Canis lupus familiaris: one gene and its partner. The protein of the gene in region 1 interacts with the protein of each later gene in a pairwise test. Links are inferred from orthologs where the notes say so. Each region holds a gene or a part of one and is shown on either strand. Other genes may lie near its edges. The genes, in order: RUVBL2 and DPCD.

Evidence for each region.
Region 2: the proteins of RUVBL2 (region 1) and DPCD interact in binary tests that used the Homo sapiens proteins (3 or more experiments, as listed by UniProt). The two-hybrid records come from large-scale screens. The link is inferred for Canis lupus familiaris from reciprocal best matches to the Homo sapiens genes RUVBL2 and DPCD.

Annotation. Positions count from the first base shown.
Region 1 is NC_049222.1:108,058,316-108,074,473, reverse strand, and holds the end of RUVBL2 (ruvB-like 2), read left to right. Parts: intron 1-3,641; coding exon 3,642-3,696; intron 3,697-5,370; coding exon 5,371-5,426; intron 5,427-5,714; coding exon 5,715-5,856; intron 5,857-7,635; coding exon 7,636-7,765; intron 7,766-7,929; coding exon 7,930-7,996; intron 7,997-10,680; coding exon 10,681-10,787; intron 10,788-10,875; coding exon 10,876-10,969; intron 10,970-11,358; coding exon 11,359-11,482; intron 11,483-11,830; coding exon 11,831-11,925; intron 11,926-12,024; coding exon 12,025-12,143; intron 12,144-14,533; coding exon 14,534-14,653; intron 14,654-15,086; coding exon 15,087-15,216; intron 15,217-15,587; coding exon 15,588-15,702; intron 15,703-15,834; coding exon 15,835-15,860; 3' UTR 15,861-15,953; downstream 15,954-16,158. UniProt on the Homo sapiens protein: Possesses single-stranded DNA-stimulated ATPase and ATP-dependent DNA helicase (5' to 3') activity; hexamerization is thought to be critical for ATP hydrolysis and adjacent subunits in the ring-like structure contribute to the ATPase activity.
Region 2 is NC_049249.1:14,381,566-14,398,337, forward strand, and holds the start of DPCD (protein DPCD), read left to right. Parts: upstream 1-6,275; 5' UTR 6,276-6,355; coding exon 6,356-6,419; intron 6,420-10,837; coding exon 10,838-10,918; intron 10,919-15,751; coding exon 15,752-15,876; intron 15,877-16,225; coding exon 16,226-16,359; intron 16,360-16,772. Other genes in the region: POLL (DNA polymerase lambda), read right to left, coding at 1,558-1,686, 2,241-2,414, 3,169-3,486, 3,861-4,026, 4,216-4,510, 5,221-5,335. UniProt on the Homo sapiens protein: May play a role in the formation or function of ciliated cells.

The DNA of each region.
Region 1 (16,158 bases):
GACCCCTAGGTCTGAGGGGGGAGGGGGCTGGGGCCCGGACCCCTGGGTCTAGGGGAGGAGAGGGTACTGGGGGCTTGGACCCCTGGGTCCGAGAGAGGAGGGTGCTGGGGCCCGGACTCCTGGGTCTGAGGGAGGAGTAAAGGGGTTGGTATCCTGGAATCAAATGGATATTCAAGATCTCAGTAATCTGATCTGACTCAGTCATGTTATAGGAGCTCCAGCCTCCAATCCTCTGGGTGCAATTAGCAGCCAGTTCTGCAGTCTTTTGCCCTAAAGTGATGAGGGTTGTAGTAACTTAGGCTTCAAGCCATTCAAGGAGTCTTGGGTTACTGATGGCATGAGTGGCACCTGAGTACAGGAGGACGCTCAGGTGGACATCCGTCCAGAGTGTGAAGTTGCTTAGCCTTGAGTCACAAGAGTGTTGAGAACTTGAAGGGTGTCCGTGGGCTGGGGGTCCAGAGGCTGGGGATCTTGCAATGAGATTGTTTTGGCCATTTTAATATTTCAGCCCCTTGTACTCAGTGTGGATGCTCAGTAGGTTAACTCTTGAATGTTGGAATGAATGAATGCATGAGCTCACTAAAGGAGAGATCAGGCACACCGGTCCTGGCACTTGCTTAAGAAACATCTGAATGAAGAAGGGATGTGGCCTTAACTTGGGGTTGAACTGGACTTCCGGCTACCTTGGTTCCCATAGTGACCCTGGTGGGGGGGTATGGGGGAGGAGTGGGGCGGTAGTTACTGGTAGGTGTGGAATTTGAGTCTGTGGCTGCTGTCATGGCAAAGAGGGTTGATAGGGGAGCAGAAGCAGAAGAGGAAAGGTAATGGCCACATTCCTAAGACCCAGTTCTCATGGACATGAATAAAGCATTGGAAGTTTGAGGGGACAGTGGGTGCTGAGTTTTAAAATGACCTCTGCTGGGGCACCTGGGCAGCTCATCGGTTATGTATCTGCCTTCACCTCAGGTCATGATCTCAGCTCTGGGATGAAGCCCTGCCTACTGGCTCTCTGCTCAGTGGGGAGCCTGCTTTTCCCACTCCTATTCCCTCTGCTTGTGTGCTCAAGTGCAAGCACGTGCGCGCTTTCTCTGTCAAAAAATCTTAATAAAATAAAATGGCCTCTGCTACCATGGGGTCAGTGAGTAGCACAGCATAGGAGAGGCTTCTGGTGCAAAGGAAGGCCTTGTAGGAGGCAGGTCTGTTTGTGTGGGATTGCTAAGGGTTAAGATTTCTGGACCCATGCCCATTTATTGCCACAAGTAGGGTCTGGTAGGATGTGTCGTGATATGTGAGGGTGAGTTCTGAGTCTTTTTTTTTTTTTTAAGATTTTATGGGAGAGAGAGAGAGAGAGAGTGAAGCGGGGGTGGGAGGTGGGAGAGGAAGAAGCAGAGTCCCCTCTGAGCAGGAAGCCTGATGCACGGTTTGATCCCAGGACCTGAGGATCATGACTTGAGCCAAAGGCAGACACTTAACCCACTGAGCCACCCAGACACCCCTGTTCTGATTCTTCTGCTAGTGTTTGGGGCCAGTGTCTGTTGGTCTTGGTTCCAGCCTTCTATGAGGAGAGGGTAGGTGGGAGGGAAGCTTGTGACCATGTGGCGGCCATGGTCTAAGCTCCAGAGACTGGAGGCTTCCAGTGGGTTGGATGTCTACATCTCCTCTCCTGGTGGAAGAGAGACCTGTGGTTGGGGGCAGGTGGCCAAGGGACTGGGTCAGCAGGCTGGCTTCTTAGGCTTTCCTTTCCTTACTAGAAAGTGTGAGGGGCGCTTGGTTAAGTCACTGGAGCAGGTGACTCTTAATCTTGGGGTCCTGAGTTCGAGCCCCATGTTGGATATAGAGATTACTTAAATAAATAAAACTTAGAAAAGAAAGAAATCATCAGATACTCCAGTGCCAGCAAACAATACAGCCTAGGACCCACCACCCAGATTTCTTAATTTTTTAAAAAATATTTTATTTATTTATTCATGAGAGACACAGAGAGAGAGAGAGAGGCAGAGACACAAGCAGAGGGAGAAGTAGGCTCCATGCAGGGAGCCCGATGTGGGACTCCAAGATCAGGCCCTGGGCCACAGGCAGGCGCTAAACCGCTGAGCCACCCAGGGATCCCCACACCACCCAGATTTTTAACAGCCTTAGTGAGATATAATTCACATACCATATAATTTACCCATGTATTTATTTATTGTAAAGATTTTATTTATTTATTCATGAAAGACAGACAGGCAGAGACCTAGGCAGAAGGAGAAGCAGGCTGCCTGCAGGGAGCCCAGTGCAGGACTCAATCCCAGGACCCCAGGATCAGGACTTGAGCCAAAGGCAGATGCTCAACCACTGAGCCACCCAGCCACCCTACAATTTACCCATTTAAAATGTATAGTTCAGCAGCTTTTAGTATGTTCACAATTGTACACTAACACCTCCAGGACATCTTTATCCTCCTGAGAGGGAAACCCTGTAGCTCTTGGCCATCATCCCCCAGTCCTCTCAGACCCCGTGGCCCTAGGTCACCACCAATGTACTTCCAGTCTATGAATTCACTTATCCTGCATGTTTCATATAAGTGAAATCATGCCATATGTGATCTTAAGTGTCTGGCTTCTTTCACTTTGTATGTTTTCAAGGTTCATCCACACTACAGCATATGTTGGAACTTTCTTTTTATGGCTGAACAATATTCCAAGTGTTTACATACCACGTTTGGTTTATCCATTCATTCATTGATGGATATTTTGGGTTTTCCCACCTTCTGGCTCTTGTGAATAATGCCACTGTGAACACTTGGGGATTCTCGAACTGTCCTGGGGGTACTTACTCATCTCTCTCCCCTATATGAGAAGAGATGGTGGCTGGCTCCTTTTTTCAGAGAGCTGAGAACACCAGAGGGCTCAGTACCTGCTTGTTATATCAGCTCAACACTTCAGTACATCATTCATCCAAACCCTAACATTGAACCCCAAGTGAACAAGCAAGGTGTGGGCTGTGCCCTTCGTGGGACTCACATCCACCAGAGCCGATAATATTGAGCTGATAGTCTCCCTTCTAAATGTGAGATTACACAGGGAGATTGGGCTCCCAAGGGAGACCTTTTGTTCTGTCCAGACCTCCAGAGACCCTGGAAGGAGTCAGGCCGGGGCAGTGGTTGGGGGGCCTTCCTTCGTGAGCGTCACTAGATCTGATTCAGTGAGGGAAGTGAGGAGAGCAGGCTGGACTCTGGGACATGGGTGTGCAAGGGCCTAGTGACAGATTCAGGCAATGTGGTACAAGGGGGCTGGGCAATCAGGGACCAGTTTGCTGCTCTGCATTGGGTGTTTGTCCTTCCAGTCATGGGAGTGGGGAGAGCTGCTTCCTTCAGAAATAATTTCTGGGCTCCAAATAATGTGCTAGGCCCTGGGGACAGTGCTGTGAACGAGACAGACACGGTCCTTGTCTTTCTGGGACACTGTTGACTGGGGTCAACCAACCAGCGTTAGTGGTGACAAGTAAGAAGGGTGGGAGTGACAGTTGTTTGGGTTATTGGCCTGCCTGTGGGGAATAAGAATGGAAAGGACTGCCTCTAGGGATGTGGGCAGGAGGGACAGAGGAGTTGGTGAAAACTGGGATCATAAGGGCTTTTCTGATATGTCTTCCTCTATCCCCAGACGGCCACAACCAAGGTCCCAGAGATCCGAGATGTGACAAGAATTGAGCGTATTGGTGAGTGAGCAGGGTCTAGAGCCTGCCTGCACCCCACAGAGCCAACCAGCCCAGGGGCCATCGCATCCCCCTCTCTGATGGGGGGAGATAGGGCTGAGTGCCAGAGTGGGCTCAGATGGCACATGGAGGACCTTGCTAGGCTGCAACCTGAGATGCAACCCAGGCCGCACTTCTGCTGGCTTGGCTACCCCAGTTAGGCTCCTGGGTGTCCTAGCATTTTGCTTGGAAATCATAAAAGTGTCTGCTTGCTGAGTGCCTACTGGGCTTGGCCTAGAACTGAATGTCCCATGCCCTCAGCGCACACTGGCATTAGCTCCATGAGGGCAGGGACCAGGTCTGGCCTGTTTCTGGCTGTGTCCCTAGCAGGGGCCCCAGCAGAGCAGGCGCTCAACAGATAACCAGCAAATGCATGAGTTCATGTCCTGCCAGGTTCTCACAGCCATCCCAGCAGATGTGCATTGTGACTGCTCTCCTGTATTTTATTTAATGGAGGAAACTTTGACTCAGAGCAGTCAAACCACTGGTCCTGGCTCAATGTGCAGAGTAGGCCATAAATCTAGGAGTACGAAGTTGGGGTGTAGTAGGCCAACAGAGTGCAGCCTCCGCAAAGAGCTTTACCTGCATGGAAAAGGAAACTATACTCCTTTGTGCACATTTGTTCACTCTGCCTATAAGGGAGGCCCAGAAGTAAAGAGGCTAGCAACGTGGGTTCTGGAGGCCCGGTGCTGGGGACCACTTTTGCTGCAAGAGGCTAGTTGCTCTCTGCCCTGGAGTCCTTATCTACAAAATGGAGCAAAGGTGTTCACCTCATCAGTATTGATACAAGATTCCATCAGGTCATCGATAAAAAACCCTCAGCATGCAAGGGCCAACACGGTTTCAGCTATCAAAAGACCCAGTAGACACCAGCTACTCCCAGTACCAGCCCTCAGGATGCTTAAAATCTAGTGCTGGGGTCAGCGAATCTTTTCTCAAAGGGCCAGACAGTAAATCTCTTCTGTAGAAAAATCATCAGTTCTCCCATTGCAGTGTGAAAGCAGCCACAGGCAGTAAGTAAGTTAGGGGGTGTGGCTGTGTTCCAATAAAGCTTTATTTACAAAAACAAGCGACTGAGCCATAGGCTATCATTTGCCCAGCCCTAGTCCATTGTGAAACATTGAAATCCCACGTCTTTACCTCTTGCTGGGCTGTGTGGTCTTGGGCAAGGGGCCTGACCTCTCTGGTCTCCCTTCTCGAATTTGTGTTGATGAGGGCCTGAGGAGTTTTTTGAACCCCAGAAGCACTCCTGGGTGGTAATAGCTGGGACTCCTGTTTCTCAGGGTCACGTGGCACAAAATAAGAATCTGTGGGGCCACTTAGGCTATAAACATAAAGTGTTTGTGATTGTTAGTGGTCACGGTTAGATCCTGATCTGATGTGGTTAACCAGATCTGGGTGATTCTGGTTCCCTCTGCTGTATCCTAAGGGCAGCTCCAGCTTATTGAGCATTTACCCCCACTAGCTATTCTCCCAGTAACGTAGAGACATGGACCCACCCCCCCTCATTTGACCAAGGAGGAAGCCAGGGCTGAGAGAAGCTGCCCCTTTCCTCAGGCCACACATTATCACGAGCTGGCTGGTAAACGTGTCTTCTGGTTCTTCCTCCTCCACCCCCTCTCCCCCGTCCCCCCACAGGTGCGCACTCCCACATCCGGGGACTGGGACTGGATGATGCCTTGGAGCCACGGCAGGTAGAACTGAGGGCAGTGGGCTGGGAAGGCTGATCCATGGATGTACAGGGTTCCCAGGGTCCCTGGGCATGTTAGGATCTCCCAGACCTTTGGCTACATATCTATAAAATTTAGCCACATGTAGAGTTTTATTAGTCCTAAAAATTTGGGGTGGAAAAGGCTTTTTTTGCTTTTCCCAGGCCCTAACCAGCATCGTGCCCTTTCGTCTCACTGGTCTGGAGGTGGTAGAAATGGGGGTGGCAGTCCAGTAGGAAGTCACATGGTGTGCTCTCACCTCCCACTCTACAGGCTTCCCAGGGCATGGTGGGGCAGCTGGCAGCCCGGCGGGCAGCTGGTGTTGTGCTGGAGATGATCCGGGAAGGGAAGATCGCTGGGCGGGCTGTGCTCATCGCTGGCCAGCCGGGCACTGGGAAGACGGCTATCGCCATGGGTAAGAGGCCTCTCAGGGCAGGAGCTCTTCTGGTCCCTGCCAGTTAATCCTTTCTGTGTAAATCAAGGTTGGGTTCGGCCACATTCAACAGACAGCCCAAAATGGCAGAGACTTAAATGCTCTGCTTCATTCTGTCACATAGAAGAATCTGAACATAAGCCACTTAGGGCTTGTTGAGCTGTTCCATCAAGTATTCACCTTTCTACCTCAATATCCTCTGTACTTTTTTTTTTTTTTTAATTAATTAATTAATTTATTTATGATAGTCACAGAGAGAGAGAGAGAGAGGCAGAGACATAGGCAGAGGGAGAAGCAGGCTCCATGCACCGGGACCCCGATGTGGGATTCGATCCCGGATCTCCAGGATCACGCCCTGGGCCAAAGGCAGGCGCCAAACCGCTGTGCCACCCAGGGATCCCTCCTCTGTACTTTTATGGCAGAGTCACCTCATGTTCCAAGAGGGTTGCCTAAGCTTCGGCCTTCCTGTCCATTTTTTAGTATATGTGTTGCCGAAGTGAGCACAGGCCTTCCCATCCATACTCCCATGTAGGAGGAAGGAGAAAGAGATCTTGCAGTGAGGGTGTACCTCCCTACCTTTAAAAGTAGTTAGCTCCCGTTAAGCAGCTGTCTTGGGACCCCCACATAATTTTTTTTTTTTTTTTTTTTTAAGATTCTTTATTTATTCATTCATGAGAGACACAGAGAGAGAGAGAGAGGCAGAGACACAGGCAGAGGGAGAAGCAGGCTCCATGCAGGGAGCTTGACGCGGGACTTGATCCCAAGTCTCCAGGATCAGGCCCTGGGCTGAATGTGGCACTAAACTGCTGAGCCATACTTTTTCTTATATCTGCCCCATACTTTTTCTTATATCTTATTGACTAGAACTTAATCATATGGTTACATTCTGCTGCGACACTATGGGACATTAACATGACATGAGGGAGCAGGGAGGGATGTGATATGGCAGTTGTCAGGAGAGACTTCCCAGAGAAGTCAGGCCCTGAGCTAAGACTTGCAGGGTGTCTGGGAGTCTTCTGGACACGCAATATGGGACGGGGCTATCCAGGCAAGAGTGTGGCACATGTCTGGAAAGGGGACCAGGAAGAATTTCCACCTCTTACTGGTCAGAAGGGTCCAGTGACTTCCTGTCTGTGAGACTTGACGTGGTGCTTAGAGTGACTGCAAGGTCAGCCCCGGTGTCTGCCGGCCAGCCCCAGGCCAGACAGAAGACCTGTCCCTGGGCTGGTTACAGGTCATGTGATGGGTTCATGGTTGAGCACCAGTGCATGCCTGCCACCCCCAGATCGCTTCTCTGCAGGTGCGGTCCCACACCAGCACTTGTTCTGTTGTGGTCCTCATTATACAGAGATACAAACAGACAAGACTTCTCAGGATCACATGGTGCTAAGCGGTGGAACCGGGATTCGAACCTAGGTGGTCTGGCTCTAGAGCCACCACCCTTAACTACTCTTTCAGTCCTCTTTTGGCCTTGATTCCTGCTCATTACCCCCAAGCCTAAAAGGCTAAACAACTTCTAAAGCCCTGGCGAGGTTATAGGGTCATGAAATTGACCTTCTGGTCAGCATGGGGTTCGAGTCCAGGTCTTCTATGTAGCCCGCCATCCCTGGCTTTCTCCATGTCTCCCTGTCTGCCCCCAACACTGTGTGTATTTCACCTACGCTACTTCCTGAGGAGGGAGAAGAGCTGGTTTGACACAGAATAGGTGTTGGGGACCTGGTGCCAGGCTGTCCCCACTTACCCAGACCACCTCTTCCCCAGGCATGGCACAGGCCCTGGGCCCTGACACCCCGTTCACAGCCATCGCGGGCAGTGAGATCTTCTCGCTGGAGATGAGTAAGACAGAGGCACTGACCCAGGCCTTCCGGCGCTCTATTGGCGTTCGAATCAAGTAAGCACAGGACCCGGTGTGGGGGATGGAGTTAGCTTGCAGTGGCCTTGGGATGACCCCTGCCTGCCCTGTCCGGCTTGTCCCATGCCTAAGGGCTCATGGGAGTTAGCCATTTGCAAGGGCCTGGGCCTCGGGCTCTCTGCTCACATCCGTTTTCCGCCTAGGGAGGAGACTGAGATCATTGAAGGGGAAGTGGTGGAGATCCAGATTGACCGTCCAGCCACAGGGACGGTGAGTCTGCTGCTGAGCCTGGGCCACCTCCAGGGCTGGAGGATGGGGTGCCAGAACCCAAGGGATGTTGGATGTTTGAGCTGCAGGTCAGAGCCCTCTACTGTGTACTGTGGGGGTCATTGACAGTTTATCCACTTTTTTTTTTTAAGATTTTATTTATTTATTCATGAGAGACACAGAGAGAGAGAGGCAGAGACACAGGCAGAGGGAGAAGCAGGCTCCATGCAGGGAGCCTGACACGGGACTCGATCCTGGGTCTCCAGGATCACGCCCTGGGCTGAAGGTGGCGCTAAACCACTGAGCCACCCAGGCGCCCCAGTTTATCCACTTGTGAGTGACGCCCTGAGCCGTTAAAAGCAAGTGGTGTCATGACAGAGAAGGTCTGGAAGTTCCTCACACTTAAATTTTTTTTTTAACTTTTATTTATTTAAATCATCTCTGCCTACAACATGCGGGGCTCAAACTCATGACCCCAAGATCAAGAGTTGCATGCTGTTCTCACTGAGCCAGCCAGGTGTCCCTCTCACAGTTCGTTCTTTCTTTCTTTTTCTTTTTTAAAATTTATCTTAAATAAAATAATTTAAATTCAGTTTGCCAACATGTCATGGTAAACACCTAGTGTTCATCTCACAGTTAATGGTTAGGCTTAAGAACCTGTTCTGTGAGATTTTATGCAGCTTAGCCCTAAAAGGTGTTTCCTATCCAGCTTACATGGTCATGGTGATTTGCTCCCTTTTTTTTTTTTTCAGCTAAGAATTTTAACTTTTTTTTTTTTTTTTTTAAGATTTATTTATTCATGAGAGACACAGAGAGAGAGAGGCAGAGACATAGGGAGAGGGAGAAGCAGGCTTCTCACAGGGAACCTGATGCGGTACTCGATCCCAGGACCCTGGGATCACAACCTGAGCCACAGGCAGATAGATGCTCGACCACGGAGCCACCCAAATGCCCCAACATTTTTGTTGTAAATTGCAACAGATGTAAAGAAGCACGTAAAATAAGCGAATGGTCTAGTATGTTATTATAAAACAAATCTCCTTAGAACTACCACCAAGATAAGAAATTAGAACTTTGAAGAAAAAAAAAAAAAAAAGAACTTTGCCAGCTCCCATCCCTACCTCATTGCTCTTTCTACAACACCCCACATCCTCACAAGGGTGGCTGCCCTTGCCTGTTTTCACTTCTTGGGTGTCATTGGTTTTATCACCCAGCAATGCATTCCCATGCATTAGTCAAGATTGCCCATTTTTAAGATTTCTTTTTTCTTTTCTTTTTTTTTAATAGAGAGCATAAGTGGGGGCACAGGGAGAGGGAGAGGCAGATTTCCTGCTGAGCAGGGAGCCAGAGCTGGGGCTTGATCCCAGGACTCCGGGATCATGACCTGAGCCAAAGTCAGATGCTTAACCAAGTGAGCCACCCGGGTGCCTCTGATGTAAAGATTATGTAAATAAATCGATAAATCTTTAAAATATAATAAAATAAAAATGTAAAACCAAAACCATCTCTCTCTTCCTCCTGAATTCCAGCCCTTTTGTCCTGCCATCTTTCCCTACAAAAAGAACAGCTCACTAGAAATAAGAGACAAGTGGATGTGCTGGAAGACACTGACTGTGCTTATTTTGTGGGGAGAAAGTGTGGTATTTTTGTTTTCTTAGCTGTGTTTAGCTTAGCTCTGTTTTCTGGGTTTGTGACTAATAAAAAAAAAAAAAAAACACAAGTTACGTGGACATAAAACAAGGAATGTTAGAGTGTGGCACACTCCCACCTCCCCACATCAGGGCCCTCTAGTCCATGTTGCTGTTCTTAAAGACTTTATCTTTTAGGTAAGTTGTTGTTTGTTATCTTCCTGGGTTTTTAGTAATCGGTTTGTTGAGCAACCAACAAACAATAAGCTGCACACAGTGAAAGTACAGGATGTTGGGGCACCAGGGTGGCTTGGTAGTGCGTCTGACGCTTGGTTTCTTTTCTTTTATTTATTTATTTATTTTTTTAAATAAAGATTTTATTTATTTATTCATGGGAGACACAGAGAGAGAGAGAGGCAGAGACACAGGCAGAGGGAGAAGCGGACTCCATGCAGGGAGCCCAATGTGGGACTCAATCCTAGGACCCTGGGATCACGACCTGAGCCAAAGGCAAACACTCAACCATTAAGCCACTCAGGCATCCCTGAAGCTTGGTTTCATCTCAGGTCATGATCTCACGATTTCATGGTCATGGGATTGAGTACTGCGTTGGTCTCTGCACTCAGTGCAGAGTCTGTGTCAGATTCTTCCTCGCTTCCTCCCTGCTGCCCGTCTCTCACTCTTTTTTTTTTTTTTTTTTTTTTAAGATGTTTTAAATTTATTCATGAGAGACACAGAGAGCAAGGCAGAGACATAGGCAGAGGGAGAAGCAAGTTCCCTGTGGGGAGCCTGATGTAGACTTGATCCCAGGACCTGGAGATCATGACCTGAGCCAAAGGCAGATAGATTCTCAACCACTGAGCCCCACCAGTGCCTCTCCCTCCCTCAAATAAATAAATAAATAAATAATTTTTAAAAGAGTTTATAGGATGTTAAGTTTTGACATATCCACAGTCCATTGCCCCCTAAAGCATCCCTGTGTCATGCCCATTTCCAAGCTGTGTTGGGGAGACAATGGGCCCCCTCTGAACTCCTTGGCTGGCCTGTCACCCATCTCAGGGCTCTAAGGTCGGCAAGCTGACCCTCAAGACCACAGAGATGGAGACTATATACGACCTGGGCACCAAGATGATTGAGTCCCTGACTAAGGACAAGGTCCAGGCTGGGTGAGTGGCAGGGGGCCATGGTAGGTGGTCAGGGTGGGGGAATCTCGAGCCCTTTCATGTCCTCACTCCCACCCTCCTCCACATGCAGGGATGTGATTACCATCGACAAGGCCACAGGCAAGATCTCCAAGCTGGGCCGCTCCTTCACACGCGCTCGCGACTATGATGCCATGGGCTCCCAGGTGGGCCAGGGCTTTGGGGGTCCGCTCACTCCAGGCACCAGGATGTTTGCATCTCCTCTATCACCCCCATGGCCCAGAGGGTCCGGATCCTCCAGTAGCCCCACCCCATGTCCCTTACTCCTGGTTCTTCCCTGTACCCACCAGGACAAGGAGGGCACTTCATCTTTGCAGTTTGCTCATGGTTTCTGAGGTCCTCCAGTAACCTCCGATCCTTCAGTGCTCTCGAGTGCCCTGGTGGTAACTTCCTCTTGGACCTGGGATTTCTGGATTCTTAGCTCTACCCCAGGAAGTCCAATCTCCCCCAACTCTCCACCCAGACAGCCCCTTTGGGCCCCCTTTCATGTTCTTCTTTACTCTTACCTCTCCCTCCCTGCCCCCTGGCCCCATAGACCAAGTTTGTGCAGTGTCCAGACGGAGAGCTCCAGAAACGCAAGGAGGTCGTACACACCGTGTCCCTGCATGAGATTGATGTCATCAACTCCCGCACCCAGGGCTTCCTGGCTCTCTTCTCAGGTGAGGCCCAGCAGGCTGGCTCTGTTCATGGCACACACTGCTCCTCCTACCTCCAGTACAGCCCCCTGGTTCGTCCTACCCACACTGTTGCCCTCATTCCCTCTTGGATAGTCCCAATGGGGGCTTGCATGTCCTACCCTCTCTTCTTCCTGGGTTCTTTGCCTCGGGTCTTCTTCTCTGGGACATTGCAGACCGAATGAGACACTCCTTCTGTCACTTTGCCACTCCAGTTTTGATCTCTCTTCCCTCTATCCCTGGTGTCCCATCTTCATTTCTCTCTGTCCACTCTCCGGCCCTCTGTCCCTGTCTCCTCTCTGACACTCCCTGTGTCACCCCCACCTCCTTCAGGCGACACAGGGGAGATCAAGTCAGAAGTCCGAGAGCAGATCAATGCCAAGGTGGCCGAGTGGCGTGAGGAGGGCAAGGCTGAGATCATCCCTGGCGTGAGTACCAGGGTGTGGCCAGGGCAGGCGGCTCACAGTGAGAGCAAATGGGAGGAAAGAGGCTTGGGTAGGTTTGACACATGCCCCAATGGCTCCCAGGTGCTGTTTATCGACGAGGTCCACATGCTGGACATTGAGAGCTTCTCCTTCCTCAATCGGGCCCTGGAGAGTGACATGGCGCCCGTCCTCATCATGGCCACCAACCGAGGCATCACCCGGTGAGCCAGCTGCTGGCCTCCCCAGAGGTCTCTGGGAGAAACAGGGTGCTCCAGGTAGTGGGTATGGGCACAGGGTAAACAGGGAATGTTTGTTGAGTTCCCTGTCAGGAAGGGTATGGACTTAGCTGGTGTCACAAGGCTATCCATGTACGGGGGCCTAGACAAAGTTTGTCTTTTAGCTTCTCCCTAAAACAAAGCAGGCGGGTGCTCAGGGCGGTAGGCAGGCAGTTCTGCTCCATCAGGAAGTTGAGGATCATGTTCTTTCTGTATTTTAGTTCCTGTAGCCCTTGAGGCTCAAGTTCCCAAACTGTGTGCCAAGGCATGCCAGGATGCTGCTGAAAACACATGAGTGCTCTGGGATGTTCTGAGTTTTCTTTTCTTTTCTTTTCTTTTCTTTTCTTTTCTTTTCTTTTCTTTTCTTTCTTTTCTTTCTTTTCTTTTTTCTTTTCTTTTCTTTTCTTTCTTCTTTCTTCTTTCTTTTTTTAATGATTTTATTTATTTATTCATGAGAGACACAGAGGCAGAGACACAGGCAGAGGGAGAAGCAGGCTCCATGTAGGGAGCCTGATGTGGGACTCGATCCTTGGCCTCCAGGATCACGCCCTGAACCGAAGGCAGATGCCAAACCGCTGAGCCACCTAGGCGTCCCATGTTTTGAGTTTCTGAGGGATGCACAGAGACAGATGTGTTTGACACTGCCTGCATCACTACAGTTAGGTCATTTAGCCCTAACGACCTTATAGAACAAAACTTAATATTGCTTTTGGCCTAAGAATGCCGGGGGAAAATTTTAGAGCCATGGAGCTCACCTGGTTCTGGGAATCTGTGCCCTAGGGTGTTGCCAGCACCTCTCGTCCTGTTGTCCCAGCTGGTCTTCTTCTCTGCCTCATCTGTATTTTGGTGGACAGGGAGAAGGAAGTGGGTGGTAAACAGCTCCCCTGGGAAGCTGGGGCCTGGAGGGTGCACTTAGCACTTCCACCGTCACCCACTGCCCAGCACCACCCTGGCTGCTCTGGAAGCTGAGGAATGTCTTCTCCAGTGCTGTGGCCATGTGGCAGCTAAAACTGGTCGGTAGAGGGTGGCCATCATTACAGAGGACAAAGGGGCAGATTTTCTGTGGCTTGTTTCCTGGGTGAACAGCTCTGACCCTTAAAAGAAGTTCAGGAGGTGGATATTGTCTCAGCCCCACGTTACAGAGGATAGCAAGGCCTGGTGACGTGCCTGAGGTTGCATGGAGAAGGTGTCAGAGCCAGAGTTGCCTCTCCTAACGAAGATAGGAAGGGGCCAGCTGAGGGTAAATGTATGGCAGCTGCACGCGGGGCACATCCTGGGCCAGGGCACAAACCCAAGTCGCTCCTCTGTTATCTGCATAAAATGTATTCTTGAGTCTACTACGTACTCTCACTTAAATGGATTTGTAAGCCCCTCTCCCCTACCCCCCCCCCCCCATCAGTGCTGGCAACTCTGGTGCTCCTGTGTGACTGGGTGTGGACCCTCTAATCTAAGGTCCAGCAAGTTGGCGCCCTGCCTGCTTTCTGGTTACAGCTCACCTGCTGTAAATGAGTGTCCTTTTCTTTCTTTCTTTCTTTCTTTTTTTTTTTTTTTTTTTTTTTTTTTGAGTGTCCTTTTCATGCCGTGTTATCTGCTTTTTATTAATGATTTGGGATTTAAAAGGGCCCCCTAGTTGCCCAGGCACAAGGCGAGGATGGATGTGCCTTACAGAGAAAGTGTGTGTGTCAGATGAGCTTCGTTCCAGGCATGATGTAGAGTGCTGTCTGCCACGAGTTCAATGCGAGTGGGTCAGTAGTGTATGCTAAATAAGATGTCTTTAAACAGAAGCACGTAGAACCAGGTTATATATTGGTTGGTTGACAAAAATACTGTGACCAAAGGCTCACAAGAACCTACCACATACATCTCCAAGAAGCAGTGGTTCATCATTTGCTAGTGAGTGTCTGCCCCCCCCCCCCCCCCCCACTTAATAGAATGTCACTACCACAAATTACAAGAATCCACTCTCTCCTGGCACTGCCATGTGCCAGGGCCTGCTCTGGGCCAGGTGCAGCACGAATAGCACAGAATAGGACCATCACAGTCTCTTACCTGTGGAGCTCTATGTCAAGCAGAGGAGTGAGACCTTGACTCAGTAATCCTGGATATAGATACCTAGCTCAGACCAACCCAGTTTTCTGTGGGCGGGGGTGGTGACACAGCTGGGGGACAGCTGCACAGTTGGTGATGACAGTAGCCATGAGCTGAAGGTTAGGTGATATTTGCCCAGTGAGTGGGCTGTGATGGAGAGGGTGGGTGGGGTATTTTAAGTAGAGGAAATGGAGACCTGGGTTCTGGGAGCATCACCCTGACCACCCTCCCTTTCTCCTCTTCCCCAGGATCCGGGGTACCAGCTACCAGAGCCCCCATGGCATCCCCATCGACCTACTAGACCGACTGCTCATTGTCTCCACCTCTCCCTACAGTGAGAAGGACACAAAGCAGATCCTACGCATCCGGTATGGGCAGGGCCGCCTGGGGTTCTGGGGCAGGACCAGGCTACGGGTCTGAGAAGCAGGGCTGGCACCCACCCTATTTGGCAAGTGGAGGCAGTGAGGTCTGAAGGGGTAGGTCTCTGGGCCTGCAGGAGGTAGGGCTGGGCTGGGCTGGGCAACCAAGCAATGGCCTCAGATCTGGTGGTGGGCCAGTGGCTGACACTGGGGAAAGAGCCCTGGCTGGAGAGGGTTGGAAGCCCAGGTGACAGGTCCAGCCCATGCCTCAGTGGCCCTTCTTGCTTGCCGTTCTGTGGTTCTGTGAACATAGACTCCACATGTCCCCCAGGACTTCAACAGCGCCCAGGGGGAAGCGCCAGCCAGGGGTTTGCTGCAGTCAGAGCCCTGGCCCTGGCTGACCACACCCCACCCCACCCCACCCCGCCCCACCTGCCCACAGGTGTGAAGAGGAAGACGTAGAAATGAGTGAGGACGCCTACACGGTGCTGACGCGCATCGGCCTGGAGACCTCATTACGCTACGCCATCCAGCTTATCACAGCTGCCAGCCTGGTGTGCCGGAAACGCAAGGTCAGCTAGCCCAGTAACCCCCGGGGCCCGCCCAAGTGAGTGACCTACTCCTCACTCCAAGGGCTTGGAGGGCGTTGTTGCATTTAGCCCCAGAACATAGGTTTTCAAAGGCTGGGAAGTTGGGTCTGCGGAGTTTATACCTGTATTTCCTCGCCTGACACATAGCAGGTGCTTCATAGATGTCTCTCATCTCAAAGTTAATGCCGTCAAGTCCATCTTACAGATGAAGAAACTAAGGACCGGAGGGGTTGGACCCTCAGCCGGGAGGTGGCCGATGCAGGATTCAGGCCCAAGCAGTCTGGCCCGGGGGTCTTCACCCTGACCTGCCGCACTGGGAGGGGCCCCACTGAGATCTGGCCTTTCCCTATCAGGGCACGGAAGTACAGGTAGATGACATCAAACGGGTCTACTCGCTCTTTCTGGACGAGTCACGCTCCACGCAGTACATGAAGGAGTACCAGGATGCCTTTCTCTTCAACGAGCTCAGTGAGTGTCCTCTGCTGCACCTGTCCCCAGGGTCACCCACCCCAGGGGGGCAGGCCATATGTAGCCTGGATATCTCAGGCCCTTCCCTCGAGACCACACTGACCACATGGCCCCCCTTCCTTCTCCCCACAGAAGGTGAAACCATGGACACCTCCTGAGCTGATGTCACCTTCACCTCCCCCCCCCCCACGCCCTGTTTTCTACTAGAGTTCTGACGCTGTAACTTTGTATAAAATGGTTCTGAAACTGGACCCATTCTCTCTCTCTCTCTCTCTCTCTCTTTTTTTTTTTTTTTTTTTTTTTTTAGAGCTCAAGGGAATGGCAGGGGGAGGGCAGAGGGAGAGGGAGAAAGAGAGAACCCTAGGGAGGCTCCAGGATGCCCAGTGTGAAGCCCAGTGTGGGGCTCGATCCCATGATCCCAAGATCATGAACTGAGACAAAATCAAGAATCAGATG
Region 2 (16,772 bases), on another chromosome or scaffold:
AGCTAAAGGCAGAGTATGTGAGTTGGGGCTTGAGGCCTGAGCAGGTGGCTAGCAGGGTGCCCTGGCCCAGGCCTAGGGGGAAATGGAGCACAGGAATACAACTGTACCTATAGTAAAGGAAAAGAAAAAAAGCAAAGAGGAGGCAATTCTGAGCTAGTGCTCACACTCTTACTTGGAAGAAGGAGGCTCGGCATGGAGAGGGAGCCAAGAAAGAGGGGGCTGTCAGCAGAAGGATCATCCTCACTGAAGGAACTAAGCCCATTAGCCTCTGCCCCAGAGACACGGAAGCCTTTCATATGCAGATGGCCTCCACGCCTCTACCCCAGGACACTGAGGATTTCTGGGACCCTGGATACTTTGGCCAGGACACCTCAATTCTCCTGACAGGCCAGGCTCTTCTAATCCCCTCACTCCCTTCTTGAGCCTCCCTACAGGCTGGGAGGAGACCTAGGATGAGTAATCCCATCAAAAACTCCTAAAGCTGGAGCCCTTAAATGCCAGGTGGCAAGCCACCACTGTTCCAATGGGCTGGGGGCTGGAGGCTCACTGGGACATTCTCCGTGCCTGGACACCGTGGCTGAGTGACGGTGTCATCACTAGCACTGAGGCCTCGTGATGGGTGGACAAAAGAGCCTGTCCATCCATCCTGCACCAGCCTCATAGTCCAGTAGCCTGAATAGAGTTGGAGGCTGATTTCAACTAAGGTGGGCCAGGAACTCTATAGAATCCTACCTTATCAAAACCTGATCCCAAAGTAGCAGATCTTGCCCACAGCCACCAGCCCCTAATCCTGATACCAACTGAACAAATGATATATCTAACCCCAAATACATCCTAGTTTCTAATCTAGGTTTTTGATGAATTTAATCCCTAACCCAACTCTAACCTAATGTTGGCCAAATCTTATTTTTAGGACAATGACAAATCTTAACTAAAAGCAATACTAAGAAAACCCTACTCTTAATTTGGGCCTAACATTAATTCAATTCAACCTAGCTTTCCTCTGACCCCAAACCTGATTGTACTGGCACACTGTCTCTATACCAATTCTAACCCAAACTCTGAACCAGCCTCAGGTTGTGGGGAGTAAGGGAGGGTCCTGTGGAAGGTGTGTATGTCTGGAGATAGGAAACTTTGTACAAATTTTGGAGACAAAGGGTCCATAGTTTTCATTGGGTTCTCAGAAAAGTTTGTGAATCAAAGAACACTAAGAACCTCTGCCCTAACCTACTCTGACCTAACCCAGTTCAAACCCCAATATCCTAAAGTAGATCTGACCATAATCCATCTCTAATCCAGCCCTAACATTAACCCAGTCCTAACAGAATTCCAGGATCTAAGCCAATGCTTACTGACCCTAACCTAGACGCCTGGTGTTACAGCACTTCCTACTAAAGCCACCCACCCCTCCAGCTTCAGTTTCAATTGGTCCTTTCCCCACTGGTCTCAACCGCTGGTGTCCCACAGCTTCCTCTGCCTGGCTCCCCAGCTGAGGGGTCACGTGTTCTTGGCTTCCAGCCAGGCCCTGACCTTATACCAAGGCCTGGCTCTCCTTACTGTCTGCTCAATCTCTGTAGCCTCCTCCCGGGGTATGCGTTCCAGGAAGTCATCATAATGCTTCAGACCAATGGCCTGCTGGGTAGTCAGGGAGGCCTGGTTGCGGATGTCTTCTAGGGTCCGGTAACCCTGGAAAAAGAAACCAGATGAGGAGGCTATGAGCAGCTAGAACCAATGGAGAGGCAGTGAATGAGCACATACACAAGGCTTCCATCACCCCCAGATTCCAAGGAAGGCCTGAAGAAGGACCAACCCCAGGAGTGGTTGCATTTGTAATCAGTGGGACCCAAGAGGAGTAGGAAGCATGGGAGACACATCCCAATCCAGCCCTGCCACAACACTAAAATACTGGCTCATAAGTCCATCAGTCTGAGAGATTCTGGGCATCACCAGGTTGGGGAAACCACTGATCTGGACACATAGCCCTGAGGCCTGGTCTTCTTAGGAAGGCCCTTACTAGTCAGGGGGAGAGAAAAACACACTTCTTGTCTCTCTGCTTCTATCACAAATTAATGTCTTGGGGCTATCAGACAACAGGGCAGGTCTGGGAGCCTGGAGAGGGGTCTCCATGAGCCCTAGTCCCCCTCCTGGTTCATTCCCATCAGAGCACAGGGTACAAGAACTGTGGGGCAGGACCTCTAAGAAAGAGCAAAACTAAGGTGGGTGCTGGGACATAGTGTGACCTGTTGGTACCACATCTGGGCAGTTTTGGTTCCGGCTCCCCAGATGTTGGAGAAGAGCTCCAAGATAGGCACACTCTCACTGATATGGTCCAGCTTCCGCAGATGCCCGCTCTCCAGGATTTCTACGATTTTCTCGGCCATCCGCTTTCCAATCCCGGGGATACCGAAGGCCTCCTGGGGGAGGAGGAGGCAGAGGCAGGAAAAGAAGAGTGAGAGGATGGGAGGTGTACAGCCAGTGGTGGGTTAGCAGACTCCTTTAGCACGTATCTGAATAAAAGCCAGCTTGGTCAGTTGGCAACTGATGGCTGTGTAAAGCCTGGGCACAAGTGAAGATGAGAAGATTGGATGGGCTGGGCTGGGTCACTTGTCTTTTGGCTCTCAGAGGGATGGGGGTCAGCACGGGAAGCAGAGAAAAGACAGCAGTGTGACACTAGTCACCAACATCATGGTAACAACAAGGTGGGGGAGGCCTTTCTGAGCCAGGTCCTGCACTGCAGGGAGCATCACATTTGGTCCTCCCAGGAGTACCTGAGTCCCTCACTAATCTTAGTTCCTTTTCATTGCTCAAACAGTTTAAGTAACTTGCCTAGAATCACACAGTGAATGATGGGAACCAGAATTCAAACCGTGGTCTATTGGCCTCCAGCGTCTAACCTTTATAAAAACCTTTTACTATGGAAAAAAATCCACAGTAGAGAACAATATAATGAACCCCCAAGTACCTGTCACAGCTTCTATAATTATCAAGGTTCTGTCAATCTGCTTTTATCCATCTCCCTGTTTTATTTCTTTTGTGCAAGTCTCAGACATCATAAAACTTAAGCCCTCCCCACCTCCTCCCCACTTGTGACTGATGCCTCCACCAACCTCCAGCCAGTAAACAGAGAGCACCCCATCTCCCTGCATCCCCGCCCTGGCCCGCAGGTACCTGGTAGGAGGTGACAGGCTTGTGAAAGCTCTTGAGGGCATTGATGGCCTTGGCATAGCCCAGGGCCCTCCACTTGTCTCCTTGAACACTGTAGGCTTTGGCTAGCACTTCTAGCTTCTCTGTGATGTGAGGGTTGTGGTTGACTGCCTTCTGGCTCGAAGGTTGTGCACAGACCCACTTATCCAGGCCCTTAGGGGCTGGGCGAGGGTCATCATCTCCCTCAGGGTGGGTGGAGTAGTGGCCACTGATAAGGGCTTCGAGGTCAGCTGCGCTAACCTGGGTCTCTTCCCCATCACTGGTTTCAGCATCAGAGCCAAGCTTGAGGTAGGGAAAGAGAAGAGATGATAAATTCATGCCCCTGGCCCCCAGAAGAACTCTTCAAAGGTGGGGCTGAGTCTTCTAGTCAGACTCAGGAATGAGGCTGGGTCTCTTGATTCAGACCTGGGTCTCCTTAACTGTGGGGCCATGTTCCTTTAGGCTTCCCCCAGTGCCCAGCCCTAGAAGCCCCTAAATGGTAGGTGTGCCTGGGCAAATGCAGGCATGATGAGTGCTGGGAAGAGCCAAATGACTTCGCAATAGAGATCCTTCCTCTTTTAGGGGCCTGGGATTTTCTGAACAACCACCAGGCCCTCCCTGTTCCTGTGACCTAGTTTCCAGGGGAAGGGAGCTCTGAGGGCTGGGAGGCTCCTGACCTGAGCTTGGGTGCTCGGGGCCTCCTCTGTCCTCTGGGGAGGAGATACAGGCCTGGTGGCAGAACGAGGAGGAGTGAGAGCTGTCTTGAGCAGAGCCTCATGGGATCCTGGAGGAGCAGAAAATTCTTGGTCTGCCTTGCTGAGCTGTGGTTGGAGCCCTGGGTACCTGCAGGGATGGTGATGGCAAGTTAAGACCCCAAAGGCCTGGCTCTACCCCTGCTCCCAATCTTCTACTCTGAAATCTTGTTTTTTCTGATTAAAACAATAAAAGTTATTTTTAATAACCCAAGAAGAGAGTTCAAGATGCTGCCAGGAAACACTTGAGGAAGGATTGGGGTGGGGGGAGGTAGCTCACCTGCTGGGGATGCAGATGCTGAATCCTGCCGTGTCCACCAGCCTTCCTTCCTGCAGGCACAGGCTCAGCCAGGTGGACTTCACCAGCTGAGCACCCTGGGGCAGCTGGGACAGTCCGACGAGGCGGAGGGCTCGCTCACCGTCCATGCCTTCATCCACCACGATGTGAGTGAGCCCTGAGGCATGGGCAGCACATATCTGGCCACCATGCTGGATAATCTGCTTCTCAAAGAGTTCTGCTCGGGCTCGCCCAATGCCACTGGGCACAACATGTGCCCGCAGGGAGCTCAGCCACTCTGTGCAGGGGACATCCAGATGCTTATTGTCATGACTGATGGATATGATTCAAATGAACCCAAACAATCGTTTTCCTTCCATCCAGACAGCCAGCCTTCTGGGGATTCAGCCGCAAGCATACACTTAATTTCCCCATGAACCCTCACTTGATGTAAGGGGCAAGGATTTCAGTATGTCCTGTTCCCTCATGTAAACTAGAACAGTGCCTAGCATATTGTAGGTATCCTGCATATGGATTCATTTGATCATCTTTACATTCAAGTATTAAGAGACATCTACGTCACACAAGGCATAAGGCCATATGTCTTGCCATTACAGGCCTCACAGTGTAACAGATATTCCCCTCCCCCACCCTGCCACATGAGGTGTTGTCATTTATTTGTCAACTTGGCTGCAAAATAATGTAACTCTGGGGACCTGAGTTTCCCACCTTCAGGCAACCTCCTGGAGAGCAAAGGAATCTGCTGGTCATTTCCTTAGGGGCCAGAGAGTATTTTCTGATTAACAGAGGTCTAGGGATGGGTTAGAAAATAACACAGCCAAGTGGCCTGGCAAAGACTGGGGCCCAAGCCTGGTACAACAGATACACAAACCAACCTGCAGGCCATGGGTTGGCAGAAATCAGCTCTACTATCTGATTCTAGTCATGAACAATATAGGAAGCCTAGGGGTTCAAGTACATGAGGGCTCTGAGGGTGGATCTGCTCACCTCTTTCTTCTTCTCCACCTTCTTGCTTGGGAATCTTTGCAAGTGCTTTTGATGATGGATTGGCATGAATTTTCCTCCTTTTGGGAAATGCCTTCAAGATGCCCCCAGGGTCCATTGGGGTATTGGCCAAATCACGGCCTTTCAGTTTTAGGTTTGATCGGGCCAACTGTCATGTGGAAACCCAGAACTGAGGTTACCCAACCCTTTGCCTATGGAGGTGCTGTCTCTAACAACCGGACTTTGGAGGCAGTACCTCAGTTCCCCTAGGGGTCTCCCAAAACCCAGCTGAGCTTCAGCAATTTAGCCTAGCACTTACCAGCCTTTCAAAGTCAGAATACTGGGGGATATAAAGGGAAGAATGGGACTATTGAGGAACTCTGGAGGGGTACAAAATGATACTCCTCAGATGGTTGCTCTAAAGAGTCAGTGTAGTGTCTGCTCTGCAGCATCCCACTTTGAAAGGGCTTTACCAAAAGGGGATGCCAGGCTAGGAAATGGAGCTACATCTTTAGAAAGGGCTTGGGCTCCCAAGAGGATTGACGGACTTAGATGAATCTGCATTTAAATCCCACATGATCTTCCTCTACCCCATCACAGGCCCGCAGAGGAAACCCTCGGGGTGAGGGTGTCCGGGGGGCGGGGGAACGCCCTACACCTGCCCTGGTGGTGGGCCTCTAGTTCGGGGGAGCTCAGCCCCGCAGCTGCGGGGAGACGGGGCATGGCCACAGCAGGTGTTAGGGCGCCTTCCGAGGCTGGGGGGAGTCTCGGCCTCACAGCTGGGGGTGGAGACGACCCGCAGCTGTGGGGTCCCCGCCGCGTCCCCAGCTGGCGCGCACCCAGGGACTCCCAGCTGGGGGCCAGAGGAGGGCTGGAGGGTCTGGACCCTGCCCTAAGGACCGCTCCCCCCGCCGCGATTGGGTCCGCGGTGGTCGGACCCCGCGGCTCACCCGCGAGCCGGCCGGAGTAAACCACTTACCAGAGCAGCCAATGAGAGCGGACGAAGGGCGTGGCGGGTGGGAAAAGGGTGGGGGGAGGGAGGCCAAATGCCCGGAACACCTTCCGGGTCGGCCGGAAGTGACCGTAGGCGGAATGGTTGCCATGGCAGCGGCCGGTCGCGCGGCTGGCTGGAGGGAAGATGGCGGTAACCGGCTGGTTGGAGTGTCTGCGGACCGCCGAGAAGACGGCGCTGCTGCAGGACGGTAACTCGAGGCCCCCCACGAACTCCCTAGTCCTTTCCCCCAGGGCCCAGCCCTTCGGACTGGGGCCTCCGCGAAGGGCCTTCGAGCCTGGGACGGCCGAGCTGAAAGGGCCGCGGCTGCCAGACGAGGCCCGGTCCTGCTTTGGCAGATGAGGAAACTGAGGCCCAGAGCGATGACGTGACTGGAACACGCGCCTCTGGACACCTCCTAGTTCCCTCTACACCACTTCGCCCCGCTCTGAGTTCTGTTACTAATAAAAACTCCTTTCATATTCGTTATGTTATTTGCTCCAGACAGCTGTCCCAAGCAGCTCTTTAATTTCCACCCCATTTTACGGGAAGAGGAAACTGAAATTGAAGAGGGTTTTAGACCAGCCCTAGCCCGTTGTCCACTCGGTAGGGTTCTGTTGCTGAATGCAGCCTGGTGTCATTGAAGAGGTGGGGAGACCTGGGCCCTAGTTACTACTCTGCCATTAAATCACAGCTTCTTTATTTGCTTGGGCCTTATTTTCCTCGTCTGTAAAATGAGCTGGATGGGCAATCTCTGATGTCCTTTCCAGCTGTCATATGTTTGTAAGTGAACTTCTAAATATTCCCTGGGATCTATAGGGAAAAACAGCAAGGGCCCCAGCGCTGTGCCTGGGAAAGGTGGGCATAGGGGTAAGGAGTCCTGATTTTGTCTCACTCTAGGATTGGCGGGTGTAGGACCCCCCATTGCCGCAGAAGTCCTTTCCTGGACGCACTTGGCAGCCAGATGAATTAGGTCTAAATTCATGTAGCTTGAGGATACCAGCTGGAAGCACACATCCATCCATCCACCGGAGGAGGCCAATCAGGGAAGCTTGGAAATTAATATCACCTGCTCATTTGCTCGTTCATTCACGCAGCATTTAGGGAGGCTTTTACTATGTGCTAGGTTGTGTATTAGAGCAGAGAATGAAAAAAAGATATGTAAATAAATGTGTGTTAAGTAGACGTTGGGATTTTCTGTAAAGTGTATGAGAGCACGAAGATGGAAATGATCATCTCTTTGAAAGAAGACCTGACAGAAGAGGTAAAGTTTATGGGTCCTAAGGAATTAATGTGTTTGCTAAGTGTAGAAGAGGAGATGGCTGTTCTAGAAGGAATGACTCACATGTAAAAAAAAAAAAAAAAAAAAAAAAGGGCATGGAGGTGTGAAAGTATATGGCTGATTACTAGGGGAAAACAAAACATTTAGTGAGGCTGAAACAGTAACAGTCACCTAGCCATAACCCCCCACACTGTCAGGTACCAGGTGCTAGGATGCAAGGTGAATAAAAGTTCTCTTTTCTCAAGGAGCAGTGAGGAGAAATGGTGGGAAATGAAGGATTTTAAATAAATTGGGTATGTTGTGATAGACCTTTTATGCCAAGCTAAAGATTTTGGACATTATTTTCATAGGACAGTGGTGTCTGGTTTTATTATAAGAAATAGATAATATAGAATTTACCATTTTAATGATACAGTTCTGTGGCATGAAGTATATTCATATTGTTGTGCAACCATCACCACCATCCATCTCCAGCACTGGATCTCTTCAACTGAAACTCTGTACCTGTTAACACTAATTCCCCCATTCCCAGCCTCTGGCAACTACCATTCCACTTTCTGTCTTTATGGAATTGATTATAGCAGGAACCTCATGTAAGTGGAGACATACAATATTTGTCCTTTTGTGACTGGCATATTTCACTTAGCAACCACTTATTTCAACGCCCATCTATGTTGCATGTATCAAAGCTAAATAACATTCCACTGTATGTATGCATATGCCACATTGTATTTATCCATTCATCTGTTGATGGACAGATGCTTCCACTTGTTTAGCTATTGTGAGTAGTACTGGACTGAACATGGGGGTACAAGTATTCGAGTTCTTGCTTTCACTTCCTTTGGTCACAGGACAGTTCTTAACAAATATTACATCATCTAGGATTTTGTTAGGTTTTTTTGTTAGTAGCATCCACAACAATGCTGTTGGTCTTTTTTTCCCCCAAGTCAAATAATAATAATTAATGTTAAGTATATGGATTGGATACATCTTGTCAAACCTCTCCTATAGATTTACTTTCCTGTTGGGTATGTGGAGAATATTACCTCCCTCTCACAAAAAAAATCACTGCTATTGGTAGTGAGAACCCAATACTCTTGAATTTTTTTTCAGGAAGAATTGATGCTCATTATGGAAATATGAAAAATAACTAAAGTCACCTATCAACTACCATCTAGAGATAATCATAATTTACATTTTTTAAAAGATTTTATTTATTAGAGAGTGAGCAAGACTGGCAGAGGCAGAGGGAGAAGCAGACTCCCTGCTGAGCAGAGCGCCAGATGTGGGGCTCAATCCCAGGATCCTGGAATCATGACCTGAGCCAAAGGCAGATGTTCAACAAACTGAGCCACCTAGGCACCACCATAATTTACATTTTCATGCATAAACTTTCATATTTCTTCATGCATGTACAGTCATATATATATTTTTTTACCAAAGTATACTAATAAAATTATGTGTGTGTATATATATATACACACACATACACATATATAGCTATAAAGTAAATATGTGATAGAATAAAATACAGATAATTACAACTCCTGGGTAGTAACCACAAAAGAAAAACCAGTTGACTGTATAACAAGCAATTATTTGGGAAAGCCCACTTCAAATAAAGTTAAAAGGCAATTGAAACAATATTTGCAACATATAAAACACATGGTTAATATACATAAAGCTCAATCAGATTAGTAAAAAAAGAAGATGAATACCCAAATAAACTAAGGTCTAAATAGGTAATTCACTATAAACAATAAACCCTTGGAACAGTGTTCAGCCTTACAGATATTTAAAGCTATGCACATTATCCCAGTATGATTATTAGAGTATGGGTTTTGGCCTCAAATGAGCTTAAATCTAGGTCTGTCATTTCATAGCTTTATGAGCTTGGACAAGCTACATGACCTGTAAGCCTCCATTTTCCTCATTTGTGAAATACAGGTAATGGGGTCACATTGGATTATTGTGAGAATTAAATACAATAAAACATGTAAAATGCTAGGCCAATAGTAAGCACTGCATCCTTCCAGAACTCAATATGGACTCCAGTGGGAGAGGAGGTTCAGGCCAGAAACCTTCAGCTGCTCATAGGCAGCACTTTTTACCCCACTCCTGACAGGAAAACCCCTTCCAGCTCTATGAGCCATCCAAATGATTTGGAGTGGTATACCTAGGGACGTGCTGAGAAGCTCTACAAATTTGGGGCATGAGTTTCCCCAGCATACAAATTAAGAATGACTCAAGGGAACTATGTCCAGGAGAGTGAATTAAATGGGAAAATGGCTTGGGAGATCAGATCCAGTTGCAGATTTTAGGTAGTGACTCCTTTAACTGCTCAGGGTCCTTGGGACTCTTATTCATCAAGTATAGGTTGGGTAGCTGCACCCTGTTATTCGGCTCACTGAGGAGCCTACCTGTGTCAACTCACCCATTTGTAAAAATAGGGAAAATTACATAGTCACTTAAAAAATAATTATGCTATATAGGTGGAATTATAGCTATATAGATGGAAGGCTAGGAGACTCCCCTGGATTCTTGCAGGGGATTCTTGTGAAAGTTGAATCAGTGTTCATTCTCTCAATTAATATTTAGTTGAGCTCCTAATATGTGCCAGGTACTGTGCTTAGTGTTAGGGAAACCAAACCATAAAAGTGGGATAAAAACCCTCCTATAAAGACAGGCAGTAATCAATGTATATAAATCATACTGAGGCAAATGCTGTAAAGAAAATGTAAGAGGACTAACATGTGGCTGTGTGCTAGGAATGGCTTAGAGGCATGCAGAAGGCACAGCAATGGTGTGTCTAGAAGGAGTGCTTGGTCAGGAAACCCAGTTCAATATCCTGACCACATAGGCTTGGTTTTAGGAACTGAGGATAGAAAGCTAAATATGGCACCGTTCCTAGGGAGACAAGATGCTCTTAAAAAAAGTATCATACTATGTGATAAATACTCCACTATGGATATGAATAAAGCAGTAGGGAGATCCAAACGAATACAGAAGTGATGAATTTTGCCAAGGTGGCTAAAGAATTCTCAGTGGACTGACATTTGAGCTGGATTTTGAAGGGCAAGGAGTTCAGCAGGAGAATGGAGCTTTGCTGGTAGAGGGAACAGCAGAGCAAAGACCCCATTTAGAGAAAGCTGCATAAAAGAAAGGTGTCCCAGGGCATGTCTTACAGTGATGGTGGCAGTAGTTGGCAAGGAGCTCATGGGCAGCTCTGGGAGGGTTTCTTGTGCTCAAGTCCAAGGCTGTTGGTGTTTCCCAGGAAAATCCCTTGATGTGCAAGTTGCAAGGTAAGAAGAGGCTTGAGGGTAAGGCACTCTCTGCTTTGTGTGTAGGAAGAAGGAAGGTGCACTATTTGTTCCCAGATGGAAAGGAAATGGCCGAAGAATATGATGAGAAGACGGGTGAACTACTTGGTGAGTGACAGGGCCTCCCAAAGGCCCTGAGGAACACTTGGGGTAACCTAAAGCACAGGTAAGCAATTCCAGCCTTAGGCTTGAGGGAGGAATGAGCACCAAAGGTGGAAGCCAGGGAAGACTGAGGCCCTCAAGGCAAGATTGTTCCTGAGAATAATGTGAGGTTAGAGCTGGACACTGGAGGTAAGTTCCACCTGACCCCCAGACAAATGAGAGTGTGAGGAAGTCTTCTGTAGGGAAACTGTCGGGAAAGAACTGTAGACAGAAGGCAGAATTGGAAGTGATCCTCTCTGCCAGGCACAGTGAATGGAGGTAAGGGCAGGCTTTAACTGCAGTTGTATTGCTCGTTTTCTAAAGCCACAGCAGGAGCAAGCAAGCAGCAGCAGCAGCCAGTACTGACCTGGCCTCAGAGGGGGCGCTGTTAAATCTGACCCTTGGAAAATGTCTGAATCAAAGTGGATTGGGGGTAAAAATGGGGATTTTGCAAGATGGTTATTTTCATTCCTACAGCTCTTTTCCTCTAAGACTAGGCTCGTGAATAAGGGGTCCAGCTCAGATTTCTGAGAATTCCTTGATTTGTCCATCCTCTGTACCTAGGTATGCATATCAGCATTAACAGACTTCCCAGAGCTAGGTGGCTGCTGCTTTGACCCAGGGTCGGAGGCTGTCAGCAGTGGGAGTTGGTCTCTTTATTAAGTTCCACCTGAAATGCTAAATCCAATGGTGGAATCATGGGTTGGGTTATTTTCTTGTCATTATTCTTGACTTTAATTTCTTCCTGTGCCTGATCGACAGGTAGTATTGGCAAGGGAATTTTCTTTTTCCCTTTTTCTGACAGCTCATAAATGTCTAGAACCGACAACACGGATTACACTGGTTTGCATTTTCTTAGTCTCCAGTCTTAAAATGTGTGTCCTGCGCATGTTCAGTCGTAGAGTGAAGTGTTGATCCCTCCTTATTATGAGCTGCTTGGGCTCCAGTCCCAATTGGTTTAGTCTGGTGCTATTAAAAATCTTGATGTGTTTAGCATATGACACTGATTTGGTGGAAACCAATACAGTAGTAATATCCTCACAATGCATTGTAATTTATAGCGCTCCCAGGGGGTGACAGCCTTGGAATGCCTAACAGGGGCGAGCTTATGAAAGCAGAGGTCACGTGAGCTAACCACCACCATTGCCAGGCTAGAGACTAGCTGCAGTTCCTCCCTGCAGCTCCCAGCACCACACCTCTCCTCCACTCAGAGCAAATAAAATGCCTGTAGCTGCTGTGGCCATAAAAACAAGCAAACAAATAACTCCTGGCCTCTTAGTTGTGCTTGGACGTGAAATTAAAATGAAAAACAAGTTCAGGTACCTTCCTCTGTAGCATCCCACATTAACCTGTCACTCTTCTCAGCAGATGGGGAGTAGACAATCGCCTACAAACTCCTTTTTTCTTAGAAGCTGAAATGGAGATTCATAGGAGAACACTGGCTAAAGTTTACCTAATAATGATATTAATGTCATAACTTTTATTAAGGTACTATGCTAAGTGCTTTACATGAGTTACCTCACTGAATCATCCTCATTACAGCCCAATGAGGTAGGTACTGTTGTGCCCTTTTACAGTCGGGGAAAAAACAGAAGCTCTAAGAGGTTAAGCACCTTGCTCAGAATTCCATAGCTGGTTAGTTTCTGAGTTAGGATTTAAGCCTAAGTTTGCCTGGTTAAGAGCCCATGCTTTAATGCACAACAACATACTATTGGGAGTTGAGAATATTTAATCCTGCCTTCTTACTAAGTTTTGTTCTCCCCAGAATGACTGAAGCAGGGGCTGGTGGGAGCAAGACAGAGATGGGCAGAAGGAGCACCCCACTCAAACCACTGGGCCCTTTGAACAGCTGAACCTTCTCTTACTCATGTTCAACCACTCACCCTACCCCCGCCAACTGCCCTTGCAAAATTATTATTTATGTATAAACAGTCTCAGGGCCCGAACTAGAGCTTGAGCACTCTATGAAGTAAAATACGGACAGGGTTATTATGGCCATAAATGAGAATTAAGTTTCCATTTTTCCAGTTCACTATACAACTTTGGTAATTCTCTAAACTGGTTTTCTGTTAGAAAAACCCAGAAAATAATTTGCCAGTGGTGCATCTGGGTAGGACAGAGTCCTTCCAGTTGGTGTTAACAAGCATAGTGGTGTCATATTTTTTTCAACCGTCTCAGTGCTATTCATTCCCACCCCGCACAATGAATGCTGTATGTAGTCATAGAGGAAAAACCTGAAGGGCCCCATAACAATGATCGGAACATCAAACCAGCCCCAGAAGAACACAGCATGTCCAGGGGGGCAGAGGCTGAAGGGCAGGCCATCCCCCAGCGATTACATTTGGATTACTGGCTTAATCTGCTTTGGTATTTGACCGCCAGCCTAACCACCCCAGGCTGCATTTGGAGGATATTGAGCACTTTCATCCCTAAGCACTTCACTGGCTTTATAAATGACCCACTCGATTCCCTTCAGCCTCCTCAGGGATGGGACGTGGCAGCTGTTTAATAGCCACAGAGCAATGTTGCAGTGTTTTAGGGCAGAAAAGAAGAATCCTGCATCCAGTTTAAGCTGCAGGGAGTATTTAGGAAAGGGGAATGTAATTATCCGCATTGGAAGCAGGCCAAGGCTTGGAGCTTTGGGGAAAGAGGCCTTTAGGACCTCCACTTTCCAGCCCACCTGAAAGATGGGCCTTCCTTTAAGCAGTCTAGGACATCAGCCTGCTTCCTGCTGACTTAGGAAAAAAGCCCCCAGGCACTGCCTCCTTCATATATTCCTCATCAGACCCTTTAGGGTCATTGAAAGTCTCCTTTCCAAGGACTGGCCCTGGCTCAGCTGGGAAGAAAAGACAGCGTCCCAGGGAGCTACCCTACACACACTAGTTTGAGTTTAACATATAATCAAATCAGAGTGACAGCAGGTGGAAACAGTCCTCTGTTGCCACAGGAACTGTCCTTGAGTTCAGGAGCAAAGACAGGATGAGAAATACAAGACGAAGTGTATTTGCACGTGTGCATTCGAGCTTGTATACATGGAGAAAATAACAAGGACTTCACCAAAACTGTTTATTGGATCTTATAAGGGAATAAGTAGGGAGACTTTCTTCTACATTCTACCAAAGAATTTAATCCCAAGGTGTTTAAAAAGAAAGAAAGCAAGCAAGAAAGCGGTGAAACAGCCAGAAGGCTGGCCTCCAGTTAAGCGAGGTATTACATGAATAGATTTGGATATACTCCCTGGTCACAGTCCATTCACTTAAGAGAGTAGAAATATTTGTGAAAAAAAAAAAAGTTGCCTATAAAGCATATTTCCAAGTTTTACTCTTCCTTATTAATTTTCATTATAAACTTGGAAATGTGTTTCTAGGGAGAATTTTTGGCCCTAAGACGTAATAAAATCACACTGCAGAATGCAGCAGACCTTATAAAAGCACATATTCAAGGGAAAATTCTAATTTTATAGCACACTTTTGTGTTCAGCTTGCATGCCTTACTTGGAGCAGGGAGGGTATTTGGGTTTGGCATAGCTGCTCCAGAGGTCTCGAAGAAACCCATCCTAGAATCCTACTACAAGTCTCACCCCCTCAGCCCAGAAAGAGAAGTGGATGGGAGCAGCTGCAGCAGAACATCAGGCACTTTTTGACCCATTTAGCTCCTTCCAATGGCTGTGGGAAGGCTGCTGGCCTTTTGCAGCACTTAGGGTGCCCACCTAGAGGATGCCAATGTGGCAGGAAGGGAGAGGAGCCCAGGGGTTATAGCTGGAGGAGAGGGGAAGGCTCCCCTGCTGTCATGGCTGCACCATGAGGACATGGATGACTGGGATTCCTCAGTATTCTGGCTGGGGTTCTCAAGTAATGTCCACTTAACTAGTTTTTCACTTTTAATTTCTATACTGTATGTACCTTAGGGGAAAAAGAAAACAATTTATGTAAACATGTGGTTTGTAAAACAAGGTAAAGGGGATTCCTGGGTGGCTCAGCGGTTGAGCGCACCTGCCTTCGGCCCAGGGTGTGATCCTGGAGTCCCGGGATTGAGTCCCACATCGGGTTCCTGCATGGAGCCTGCCCTTCCCTCTGCCTGTGTCTCTGCCTCTGTGTGTGTGTGTGTGTGTGTCATGAATAAATAAATAAAATCTTTAAAATAAATTAAATAAAGCAAGGTAAAATAGAGATTATTGTTTGCATTATAAAAGGATGAACCTACTCTACAAAAACAAATTCATATGAGATCTTCTGTAAATAATGCAGTTAAAATATGGTATGAACCTAAAGTTTTGTTTAAATACAATTCTGGGGCTGTTGTTTTGAGCCAGGTAGAGCTGAAATGAGTGAATTCTTCATTTTGACTTTCTAAATCATGAGACAAATCTGCCTGTCAGCTTTCATCTTTTTAATTTACTTTTCCTTTGCACATTTGCAGAGAGAAAAAAATGCACCTCAACTCTGACTTGTTGGGATCTGCAATTTCCCTGTTACTAGTGGCTACCCTTTTCCTAACCAGCACACCTCTCCCTTGCTTGAAATCACACCTTCTTAACTCCACTCAGCTCCTTTCAGAGCTTTGTTCCAATCCCTTTGTTTGAGTGCCCAGAATACAAGCTTTCCAGGTTATCCAATATCGAAATGCTCTGCTGGGATTTCAGCAGTTGTGAGGTCCTGGTCAAATGGACAAAACTGGTGTAAAGGCCTGCCGCGCCTGCTTTTCTCCTGTTCCAATCATCTAACATGACATCATTGATTCAGCAGGAAAGAGCAGAGTCCCTTCCTTCCCTGTAATCCCATTGCTTCCTTCTCTCCTCAGTGAGAAAGTGGCGTGTGAAAAGTGCCTTGGGAGCCTTGGGCCAGTGGCAGATTGAGGTGGGAGAGCCAGCATTCCTGGGAGCAGGGAGCCTGGGCCCTGAGTTCATCAAGGAAAACAATGCCAATGTATGTGTTATCTGTCGGGTGTCTTGAGGGGGGCTGGGGTGGAGCCGGCTGCTGGCTTTGGAGGGCAAATACGATGTCTTCTTCACCACCTTGTCTCCAGTGTGCCTGCCTGGATACAGAGCTCTAGAAGTGTTTGCTTGAATGAATACCCAGAGGGTTTTGGCTTGGTCATCCCATGACAAGGGCTCCAGGCCTGGAATGTCACAGCAATAGCAGCATCAGAGGGGAGCTGTGGGGAAGAGCTGAAGGCTTCCTGTTGTGTGCCCCAGGTGGAGTTTTGCAGAGCAGGGAGCCATCTCTTGCTTGCCCTCACCAAGAGCAGTCTTTAAGTTGGATATGCCTTTTGTAGCCCATCTTCATGCGCAAGGACACCAAGATGAGTTTCCAGTGGCGGATTCGAAACCTCCCCTACCCTAAGGATGTCTACAGTGTCTGCGTGGATCAGAAGGAGCGCTGCATCATTGTCAGAACAACCAACAAAAAGTAAGTGGTGTGATGGGCACCTGCTACCTGTGTATGAGCACAGTGTGGGGTAGGGCTTGACCTAGGGTTGGTGCTCAGACTGCTCCCCACCTCAGAGGGCAGAGAAGCCTCCTCTTTCAGCCCAGGGAGGGAGGAGGCTGCACTAAAGCCCCAGAAGATGCCAAGAGCTAGAGGGCTTCCTTTCTGCAGGAGCTGCTTGAATAATGTAATCAGCTCCATCAGGGCAGGGAAATAGGAACAATGGATGTCTGGTCCAGTACCTGGCACATACTGGGGTTTTAACAAATATTTGTGGTGTACATGAAGGGACAAGGGACTCACCTGGCCATTGACTTGTGATCTTAAGTGGTTCTGCTATAAGATTATTATTATTCTGACCTCCTGGCTGGATCCAGTCCATGGTGAACTTGGCC